3 linked regions of the Oryzias latipes genome follow. The protein of the gene in region 1 purifies or fractionates together with the protein of each later gene. This does not show direct contact. Links are inferred from orthologs where the notes say so. Each region holds a gene or a part of one and is shown in the gene's direction. Other genes may lie near its edges.

Region 1 (4,199 bases):
TTGGTTGAAAACACTTGAAATGAATGGGATTTGGATCCTGACTGAGCCGTCGTGTTCGCTTGCAGGTACCAGATGGTTTCAGACGGAGCCGTGTGGATCAACCACACACGGGCGGACAAACCGGAGCAGGTTCTCGTCCCCAAACTCCACGTCCTGTCCAACGGACTCACTCTGCTCAGAGTGGGCAAGAGGAACTACTACATCATCAAGTGGCTCGGTCTTTGAGGCTGCACCGCCCACCGCAGTGCCTGTACGCCGTAAAGGACTTACAGGCAAGGTAGGCGACTAAAGCAGACTGTAGCGGACTCATAATGGTGACTCTGTAAGTCCATGTGGCCTTTGTTAAAAATGTAATCGTACAGACAACTTTAGTATTTAAAGGTATTAAAAGATTTGTGCTTCCAGAGTTGTGTGTTAGATGAAGCTCTAGGGGGCGCTGTTGGCTTGACAGTGGTTGAGTGAACACTGCTGCACCTCCTATCCTGCTCTGACCCTTTGAGTAAATAATTGCTCACAGCTAAATTAGATTGCATCATTTCTGTCAAAAGGCTTTTGGTTCTATTTAAAGACGACTGCGCCACTTTCAATTTAAGCATCAAGCTGCCCTCTATTCTCATTTAGGGGTGTTTATTTTTTTTTGCATGTGAATAAAAAGTAAAAACTAAGAAGCTTTATGATAAATCTGGAAAAAAACAGTTGACTTTAGGATAGCAGAAATTTATTTTCATCTTTATATGTTATTACTTCATATATAAATATTTTCAGTCAATAATTCCGATATATGTACAGATTTTGTTACGGTAAGAAAATTTTTTAGAATTAAAATGTTTATTAGGCTTTTACTAAATCAGCTCAGTTTGGGGTCCTCTTACTGGACTTTATCTCCATTTAGGACCACAGGTTCATTTATTAGTGTCCATTGAAAGAATATGATGCAACAATTTCAGTTTTGTTTTGGATTTTACTCCATTTTAATTGTATTTATTAATTTTACTGTACATCCAAAATGTTTAAAATAAATACTGAATATGTGTGTTTTAGAACATATTGGCACTATTTGTATGGTTGCAATCCAATTTTTTTCTTCAAATTTAGATGTCTTAAAATGTTTAATCCATTTTACTTTTTGAAACTTGTACATTAAGTTACATCAAATGTGTGAACTTATTTACTTTGTAAAAAAAATAAAAAAGGTAAGTAATATGTTTAGAACAGCATGCCTTATGCAATTATTCGGTCTACCTTAAATAAAGTGGGCGGGTCTAAAGAGCTCCATCCAATGAGTGCGCTTCTTGGGTTTTAAATGGCTCCGTATGTCAATCATGTGTAACCCTCCTCCCCCTCCCTCCAAAGTCAACCTCCCCTCTCAATCCCCACTACATGTCTCAATCGCCATATTGGGTACCGAGAGGTTCGCCTCCGCTTCCCGCTGTACGGAGCGACGTTGACAGCGAGCTTTGGTTCGTTCTCCCGTCGTTTGGATGATTGGCGTAAGCCGTCTTCGGCTCAGGAAATCGCAGCCGTGTTTGCCTCCAGCTCGACGTGCGCATGGTCGTTTCACGCCTGTTTTGGATCTTTCCCCGTGACTAGGAGGACATACCTTTTTTTTCTTTTCTTTTTTCTTCTTGAGGTGTGTTTTTCGCCTGAAAACTGGACGCTCCCGGCTGCTTGAAATTTTTACCTTTTTTCCGGGGGGCTTAACCATGTCTAACGTTCGACTTTCGAGCGGGAGCCCGACTTTGGAGAGGACGGAGCCCCGGGTGTCGGAACACCCGAAGCCGTCAGCCTGCAGGAGCCTCTTCGGCTCGGTGGACCACGAAGAGTTAAAGAGGGATTTAAATGTACATTTGCGGGAGTTTGAAGAGGCTGCCTCCGCCAAGTGGGGCTTCGACTTCGCGACTGACACACCGCTGCCCAACAGCAGGCTGGAGTGGGAGCTGGTGAACGCCAGAGACCTGCCGAGTTTCTACACCCGCCTGCCGCGGCGAGAACGAGGCGTTTGCCCCGGGAATAACAATGTGGATCTAAACGGGAATCATGACTGTGTCGGGACAGTTCCCAGCCGCTCTGACGCTCAGATGGAGTGCACGGAGCAGTGCGGCGGGCTGAGGAAGAGACCTGCGTGTCACGGTATGACATTAGCATCAAACGACCCGTTGCTGTGTAACAGATCGCCGGGCGGCAGCTTTGTGCTCGCGGTACTGGTATGCGGGATGAGGGGGTCGTAAAGCGGGGGAAACTGCCGTAAAATCCCAGAGAACATTGAGCACCCCGACCATTTTTTTCTCTCTGTAATATATAGTTTATTTTACTCATTTATTTATTTTTGCAGACCCTTCGGCCCCAAGTAAGAAGTCTCACACCAGCCCGGAGGAGGTTAGCTGTCCGAGCCTGAGCCAGTCTGCAGAACACACACCCAGAAAGACCAGCCCCAAGAGACCAACGTGAGCACGGCGACACGGTGAGCGAACCACTTCAATTTAAAAAAAACTGTTAACCTCGAATTTAAAAAAAAAAAAAGATATTAAATTTTACATCATTTTTTTTTTTATTTGTATTGACGCATTCTAGCGCAAAAAAGTGAAGTCTGTTTATTAAACCAAGAGGATTTATATGACACGCCAATAAAGAATTTTTAAAAAAAAAAGTTTTTTCCTCCTTGCGGCCGATGTTCGTCTGCTGAACTGTAAACAACAAGCTGAACAACAGTGTAGTAGTAACACGTCAGCAGCCAGTGGCCTCCGCGCGGACGGGAAGGGGCAGGTCTCTGAGCGCGCGCGCGCAGAAACACACGCAGACATGTACACTCCCTGCTGCAGAGGAGAGTACGAGAGTTCTGCAGGTCTACTATGACCCACAAGAGAGAAGGAGCACAGAAACCTGCTCTAAGCTGTCAGGTGTGAACCTTTAAAGGTTGTGGCAAAAAAAGTCAAGGTTAAATTAGCGGAACTTTGACTTCGATTTATCTTTAAGTAAAAAAAAATCCCATGTTCATTTTCGTCTCTTCTTAGTAAAAATAAAAGTTAACAGAACTGAAAAAATTGCACGTTTTTGTAAATGGTATGCAGCCGAGCTTTATTTGAGTTGATAGTTTTGTTTTGTTTTTGGAAATGACTAGTTTCTTCTTTTTTTTCAGTCATACCTCAGAACACTGTCAATACTTTAGCAGTAGTAGTTGCATCTCCTAAAAGAAAAAAAAGTACTAACCTTTCAACCTCTTTGTTTTTGTCTTTTGTTCTGATCTCCAACAGAGCTCAAGATGTGCCCCTCCCAGTTTTTTTTTCTCTGTACGAGTGTGTTTGCGTATGCGTGCATGTGTTTTTTTTTGTTTTTTTGTTTTTAAGACTGCGTTGATCTTTTTTTTTTTTTTTTAATTATTCTTTCCTTTTTTTGGACGAGGATCTACACAGCATCAGAAACATATCAGCTCTCCTGAGGACGGGGGAGGACGCTGTTGAAGCACTGAAGAGAAACACTAAAGTTTGTGGCACTCATTGAAATGTTACTGCCTCTAACAGCAGTCCATGTAGCAGCGTGCAATTAGGTTTGATTTTTTTCTTTTTTTAACTACCTGTGTGTAAATAATTTAATAAATAAATATATATGTTTTCTATGTAGCACATAAAAACATTGATTTTTTTTTTTTTTTAATCCTTTGTGTAAAAGAGGTGTGAATTTTGATTTGACTTGAAGTGTTCGGTTTGAAACATGTTTCCAAAATGCTGTTCTGTTTGCATTTTATTATTATTATTAATATTTTTGAAAGGCACTGTGGTGTTGACCCAGTCCATAAATGCTACATTTAAAAAAAAAGAAAGAAAATCATGGTTTTAGTTTCTCAACAGTGTGCCTTTATGCCGTCATCTTCCTAACTCAACAGCAAGGAATGGTACAAATGTAGCTCATCTGCCTAATGAACGTGTTTTTCTTTTCTTCCCTTTTTTGTGTTGAGGCCACTTTTTCTTTTTTCTTTTTTTTAAAGATCCACAGGAAATGGCACAGGATGAAATTAAAAATTTCAGCAAGTACCTTTTATTTTCCTTTTTTTTTTTTTAATATTTATTTTAAAATTGGAGTTCTGATGCTTTTATTTTGTAAATGTTTCGATCCCCAGAGTTGTGAGGCACTCATTTTTTTTTTGAAGGACAAAGACCATGCACATGTTTCCAGGCTGTCAAACCTAAGTTAAATGTTTCTCC
Region 2 (2,800 bases), on another chromosome or scaffold:
TTGAACGTTTTAAGTCATTTCAGTAAGCATTGTGGACTTTCTTTCTTTAACTGACGGGTACCAACAATTTTGTCCACCACTGTATAAACACAATATGAACATCATCTTTGCAAAAGTTCAGATTTTTGTTTTGGTGGGAGAAACGCTGCTGAGGGCGGCTCTAGGTTGTCATGACAAGGAGCAAAAGCCGGTGACTCTGTCGTCTTACGTCCCGGTTGGAAAAGAATTCACAGAAATAATGCATTCTTCAGTCTGCCAAAGGTAATTTTTGATCATATATACATGGATATTTTTACTATAAAAGGCTTAAGTATAGCATGGTATAGGCCCCTTGAAATGGCTGTGTTTTCGGCACCATAAGGTGCGCTGTAATATAAGGTGCAAAAAAAGGTAAACGAGGCAAAACGAGTTTAGTTGAACTTTATTCCAATCTTTAACAATCCACTCACATTATTTCTTTTTATCAATCTTTTCCAACAAACCTATTAAAGTGTCTGAATGAAATAACCGCAACATTTTGGAATCAAACTTGCCAGGTTCCCTCTCATCGTTGTTGGACTCTGTTTGCTGCCAAGTGGCTCTTCAGCAATGATGGCAGGTTTAGTAGAAGCTCATACAACAGCTACAGCTCAGACTTTAGCCCATATGTCCATTCACAAATGGAGGAGCTGCCATCCGTCTGTCATCCATCGCTCCCACCACTCTATCCTGCTGTTCCTGCCGTGGCACCGGGAATGAGTCTTTTTAGGCCTGAAGGGACCTCAGAGTATGATCAAACACTCATCCTTAGGGTTGAATCTGAGTGACTTGCACAGACTCGCATGCAGCAAACATACTAGAAACACCTTTGTGTACAGTTTGACTGGATCTTTGTGCAGAGCGCGGCAGGCGGCCATGTGCCTGTGGGGAGCATGGACTTCCTGGAGCGCTCAAAGTCAGACACATCAGGGCTCCACTGTAATGTCGCCTGAGCGGGAGAAAACCGTCCATTTCAGCATGATCATCTCCTAAACGAACAGATGCTGTCAGACCAATCATCCGCGTATTTTTGGGACTGGCCGTGTAAAATGACACGACGGGGACAGCTTGTGCTCTGAAATGCCGTCCCAATCTTTGTTTTGGTCGCACTGAAGTGGGTTTCTGCCGGACCCTCTAGATGTGGCACAACTTTACCTCCACACACATCGTTTCCTTGGAGCACGGCTACCACTTTTAGGACAAACTGCCATGGGGGAAGATTCCAGATATGAATTTGGATTCAGGTGTGCCATGCGCCACAATCATTGTTTGTGACCCACCTGGGTCCATCAAAACACGCACAGTGCGCTCATCTGTGCGATCGCTACTCCTGTCAGCAAGAACTGGTCAAACAGGCGCTTCCCAAATTGGCACAAGAACATTTTTACAGGTTTTGAAACTCGGTGCACACAAAAGGCTCGATTTAAAAAAAAAAAAAAAAAAAGAGATTCGGCTTTTAAGTGCCTAATAGTGCTGCTAATACTGTAAGATTATTTTTAAGCAGAAGTTACAAATGAGAGCTCACTTCTCCTCTTTGATTATTATCAGTTTTTAATTGCATTCATATGAAAACTGTCAAGTGAGTTTTATTTTTCCACAGTTGTCACTCACAGAAAAAGGTTTTCTGTTGACGCTTTAACTACTTTAAAAAAAACAAAAGTTTTAACCAAATTGTCAAATCCTGAGTCAGGAGCAGAGGAAAAAATGCCGTTTGAAAGATTGTAGATGTGACAGGAAATAGTCTGGGCGAGCCACAAGCTTCCTGCTCCGCTCCATTCTGATGCAGACAAATACATCCATGTACGTCGTTTTCTGCAGCTGAGCTGGCTGAAAATGGTAAACTCATAATTAATGGGAACAGGTTTACAATAGATCAAGAATGACCAGTGGGACTTGAAAGGCAAAAACATTTGAATGGACTTGTTTTCTTTCTTCCAGTACCTTTTAGCCATGACCTTTGTGTACTTCAAACGAGCTCACTTCACTATTGCTGAATACAACAGAAGGAATTTTTTCATCGCACTGTAAGTTCAGTTGGAAATGATCCATTTTTTGTTTGATCATTAGTTCATTTCTGGCAGAAGTGAAGTGTTTAAACGGAGCTTCTGTTCCTCTGCAGTTATCTCGCAAACACCATGGAGGAGGATGAAGAGCAGAGCAAGTATGAAATCTTTCCCTGGGCTCTGGGCAAAGGCTGGAGGAAACAGTTTCCCCGCTTCCTCCAGCAGCGAGACGTGCTGTGGGCTCGCATCCAGTACCGAGCCGCTGTCAGCCGGCGCTGCTGTGAGGAGGTACGCCACAAAGAAAGCGTCCAGGAGCCCCCCTGAGAAGTGTTTGATGCCTCTCTGATTCTGCCCTCCAGGTGATGGCTGTTGTGTCTTCCCATTCTGTGTGGCAGCGAACACGGTCTGATCACCACAGTGGTGCCCAGCGGCAGTACAGCGATCCAGGCTCGCCTTTTCCACGGGGGCCCTCCGCCTCCCCGCCCTCCTGTGGCCTCTGCAACGATGGCGGCAGGTTGCATCACAGGGCCGTCTCCCTGTCTGTCTCCAGAAGCTCGCCAAGGCAGACGCTGGAAAAATCCCACTCATTTACGACTGCTGCTAGTTTGGAGGTCACCCCCCCTCGAGTTGCTGCCCCCCAGAGGAAAACGGTGAAGTCAAAGAGCCAGGCACAGCCATCGCAGCGCTTCTGCCCTGAGGAGATGGCCAGTAGGTCTCAGTAAAACTACAGACACAGGCATCCATGTCTCTGTCAGTCATTAGGAGCACTTGTGGTAAAA
Region 3 (3,521 bases), on another chromosome or scaffold:
ATTTGAAATTGCTTGCACTTTCAATGTCACTTGTCATGTTTCCTTAAAGACCCACTTCCGTTAAAAATGTGTTTTGCGTGTTTTTAACATGTTTTTGTAACATTTTTCTCATGATGGAGGAGATAAAGAAAATTAATACTGAAATAATTTCTGAGTATTTCTATATTTAAATTGTGGTGAATCAGGAGCAAATGAAAAAACGCTGTTTGTAGTTCTTTACTAAAAACTACAAAAAGAGGTCTGCTCCGCTCCATTTCGATACATCTGCATGATCGAAGTGGGACTCTAAAAGCCTAAAACCGACATTGTGCATCCCTACTGATTTGAAGCAATATCCAATTCATCGTGGAACTATTTTTGGCAGCAACTCGTTACCATTAAAATTTTTTAGTGTTGGGGACGCTACAGTATCTGTCTAATGGTTATCCTGTTTCTTGCTTGATGAAAGTTTTAGATTCTATGAAACTGTGTTTAAAAATTATTGTCTAATCATTGGAACAAAATCTCGAGAAAAAAAGAAGGAAGAAGATAGTTAAATTGTCACGGTTTATCTATGTCAGATTTGAAGGGTTAATAGAATTCTTCCCAACTTTAGCCAAGTTTGAGACATGAGGCTTTCAGCACTGTTTAACAGTTGGATAAGCTCCTCTTTCAATCATGATGCCCCATTAGACCACCCCTCCTCCTTAGGCTTTCTCTTAACATCCGACCAGCTGGAGCCTCAAGGGGACAAAAGGACAAGCAGTGACAACACATCATAGGCACCTTTCCCTGTTATTTCTAGGACACACAGTGACCCAAGTGTGACCCCATTATCCCCGAGCAACTGTCTGTGCTCTCAGCTCCACCTTTATGACAGCAGGTCTAACTTAAACCATCGCTCATCTGAAAAAGGCATCAACATTGTCTTCATCCCAAACCCCATAAGAACCATAAAACGATTCACCCTCAGCTAAATTACCTTACCGCCCAAAGACCTGCTGTCCATACTAAAACCAACCAGTGACAGACACCCCACCGTGGCCCATCTGAACCCTTACCCATGATAAATACTTCAACCCTCCACCCTTCACCACCCACTCTGATTCAAGACCCACCACATGGTCATTGATGAAAGAAGCCCCCCTCCAGGGATCAAATGAGCTGGAAGGACATCAAGCAGCCTGCTTGCCCCAGTCTTAGTGCTACTCAGGCGGGCCAGTGCTTGGGTTCCTCCTCCACCACTATTCACCACTATCCTCCATACTTCCACAGCTCCACTCCGTGGGCCCACGAAGGGGGGAGGTTAATGAAGCATGGGGAGGGAATTACACTAACGCTAACCGGCAGATGTCCTATATTGTTCCATACTACAATAAACAATATGGCTGCCTCTGGTACATTAGCATCAAAAAAGGAGCTGAGCTCAGAAAGCCATGTTTTGACTGCCTCTTGTAGTCAGTCTGTTTTCTCCCATTTTTTCAGGGTTAGATATGTTGCCTTTTTGTTTGGTTTTTCTTTTCTCCACAAGTTGTTTAAAGCACCTTTGGAAAAAAAACCTTCCAACTTCAATTTGGAACTTTTGACTCGTGCAAATCATATAGGCAACCTTGTACTCACATACTGTAAATCTTGCCATTTCTATCTATTTATTAGACACTGCCTCAATTGCCTTTGTTGAGCTTAGTTCTGGAAAAATGCTGAAATGTTTATGACTTTTCGTGTTTGTAATTGATGCTATAGAAAAGGCTAAGAAGGCCAAGATTGTTTGTGTCCAAGAGTCACACGTGAGATAATTAGTGTTTACTAGGAAATGCTGTTGAAAGGAAACATGGTGAAATGACTATTTAAAGCTGAGAGGAACTGATGGGTGGAGGAATACTATTGTGTCAGCCCCCCCCATGCTACACACACACAAACACACACAAAAATGGCTAACTGCCTGCCTCTGTCCTATGGCCCTGTGTGTCTGCTGCCATTCTTCATAGGTCATGGCTGAATGGAGATGTAGAAAGGAAGGACTGTTTATGCATCCTGCCTATGGTCAGAGGGCACCCACATGCTTTTGCATGCTTTCACTCAGTGATGCACCCTTACGCAGGGGTACACATGTACGCAAATATACCCGTTTTACTTTATAACCAAATGTACAGAGCGTTTGTGCCACATCGCTCATCATCCCCACAAAACCGTGTGGGGAGTCTTTTCTATGGCTAGCACACAACCAGGCCCCACGCCATTTGCTAATGTTTTCTGCTTGAATTCACAGGCCTCATTGACTCGCACACCAGCTGGTTGGCCACTTAATAGAGCTGTGGACTCTGGTCCTCTTCACTTGTGGGGTCTTGATAGACTGTTTTGGAGCTGTTTGTTTAAGATATGTGTTTCCTTAAAAAAAAACATGTGTCTTTGTAATTTTAGTTACCATTGTTTTTCCTTGCTCTATGTTACCTACCCTACCTAATTCTTACATGCAAAAACATGAACTGGATGCATTAAGTTGCCTGGATGACAGTTGAGGTAACAAACTGCCTTACCACTATCCCTTGAACTATTTGTTTACAGGTGTAAGACCTGTTTGAGTTTCAAAAGAACAAGTCTAAGCTGGTTTGGAAATAGCTTTTTCCTGCTCACAATAGTTTGCTAGTTTGTCGTAGATGCAGTGCTACTTGAAGTCACTGCTGACGGGCCTGAAAAGCAAGCAAGAAACAGTTAACTATAGCAGGACAGCTGCTCGCCAACACAGATCTGTTCTCGCACAAAGCAGGGGCCTAACTCTGCCGCTGTCATTTGTGTGTGTATGTGTGTGTGTGTGTTATAGTCAGTTATCAAACATCTGCCACAGTCGACAAGAAAAGAGATAGGCTTCTTCTTGTTGACTCCCTCAATACTTCAATGTCTTGTTGCATTTGTATGTTGTTACTTTTTGTTTGGTAACTTTCTGTGCAGATGCATTAATTGAAGTTGTTAGTTTTACTGAATCATATTCATCAGGTCAAACACACCAAGTTAAAAAATTCAGTTTGTAATTTCTTTCTTAAAACCTGTTTTTTTTTTAGGATATGATGTACCAGCTGCTCCAGGGACTGGACTTCCTGCACTCGCACCGTGTGGTTCACCGTGACCTGAAGCCCCAAAACATCCTGGTCACTAGCGGAGGACAGATCAAACTGGCGGACTTTGGGCTAGCTCGCATCTACAGCTTCCAGATGGCTCTGACATCTGTGGTGAGTTAGTGCCTATCAAACCCTATTGGCACAGAGTTTAGCCTCTCTGTCTTTGATGGGGAACTATTCCCTGACCCTGATGCCATGTGGAGCTTTGGCCAACTAAGTGTCATGGCACCTGTCCACTAAGCATCTCCTGAAAACCTCCCAGCTTATTCTAGAGCTTTTTCTTTCATTTTCTCATATGTTCTAAAACTGTTTTCCCCATTTTTAACTAATGCACAAAACACATGGCTTGAACTTTTCTCCCTTCTCCTGAGAATTGGATAAAAAGCATCCAGTGTTTTGTCTGGGCACTTACGGGGCATCAGTTGG

What was found. Proteins that work in one complex are often made in the same cells at the same time.
Region 2: the proteins of cdkn1b (region 1) and spdya purify together in Homo sapiens (affinity purification with western blotting; 3 studies listed by BioGRID). This does not show direct contact. The link is inferred for Oryzias latipes from reciprocal best matches to the Homo sapiens genes CDKN1B and SPDYA.
Region 3: the proteins of cdkn1b (region 1) and cdk6 purify together in Homo sapiens (affinity purification with western blotting; 8 studies listed by BioGRID and IntAct, counting the BioPlex papers as one, with this or other methods). This does not show direct contact. The link is inferred for Oryzias latipes from reciprocal best matches to the Homo sapiens genes CDKN1B and CDK6.

What each region holds. Positions count from the first base shown.
Region 1 is NC_019864.2:11,436,235-11,440,433, forward strand, and holds the start of cdkn1b (cyclin-dependent kinase inhibitor 1B), read left to right. Parts: upstream 1-1,382; 5' UTR 1,383-1,703; coding exon 1,704-2,130; intron 2,131-2,332; coding exon 2,333-2,448; 3' UTR 2,449-2,461; intron 2,462-3,251; 3' UTR 3,252-4,199. Other genes in the region: yars2 (tyrosine--tRNA ligase, mitochondrial), read left to right, coding at 66-225. UniProt on the Homo sapiens protein: Important regulator of cell cycle progression. Inhibits the kinase activity of CDK2 bound to cyclin A, but has little inhibitory activity on CDK2 bound to SPDYA. Involved in G1 arrest. Potent inhibitor of cyclin E- and cyclin A-CDK2 complexes.
Region 2 is NC_019880.2:27,229,359-27,232,158, forward strand, and holds part of spdya (speedy protein A), read left to right. Parts: intron 1-1,956; coding exon 1,957-2,042; intron 2,043-2,137; coding exon 2,138-2,309; intron 2,310-2,380; coding exon 2,381-2,729; intron 2,730-2,800. UniProt on the Homo sapiens protein: Regulates the G1/S phase transition of the cell cycle by binding and activating CDK1 and CDK2.
Region 3 is NC_019869.2:9,947,201-9,950,721, reverse strand, and holds part of cdk6 (cyclin-dependent kinase 6), read left to right. Parts: intron 1-3,038; coding exon 3,039-3,206; intron 3,207-3,521. UniProt on the Homo sapiens protein: Serine/threonine-protein kinase involved in the control of the cell cycle and differentiation; promotes G1/S transition. Phosphorylates pRB/RB1 and NPM1.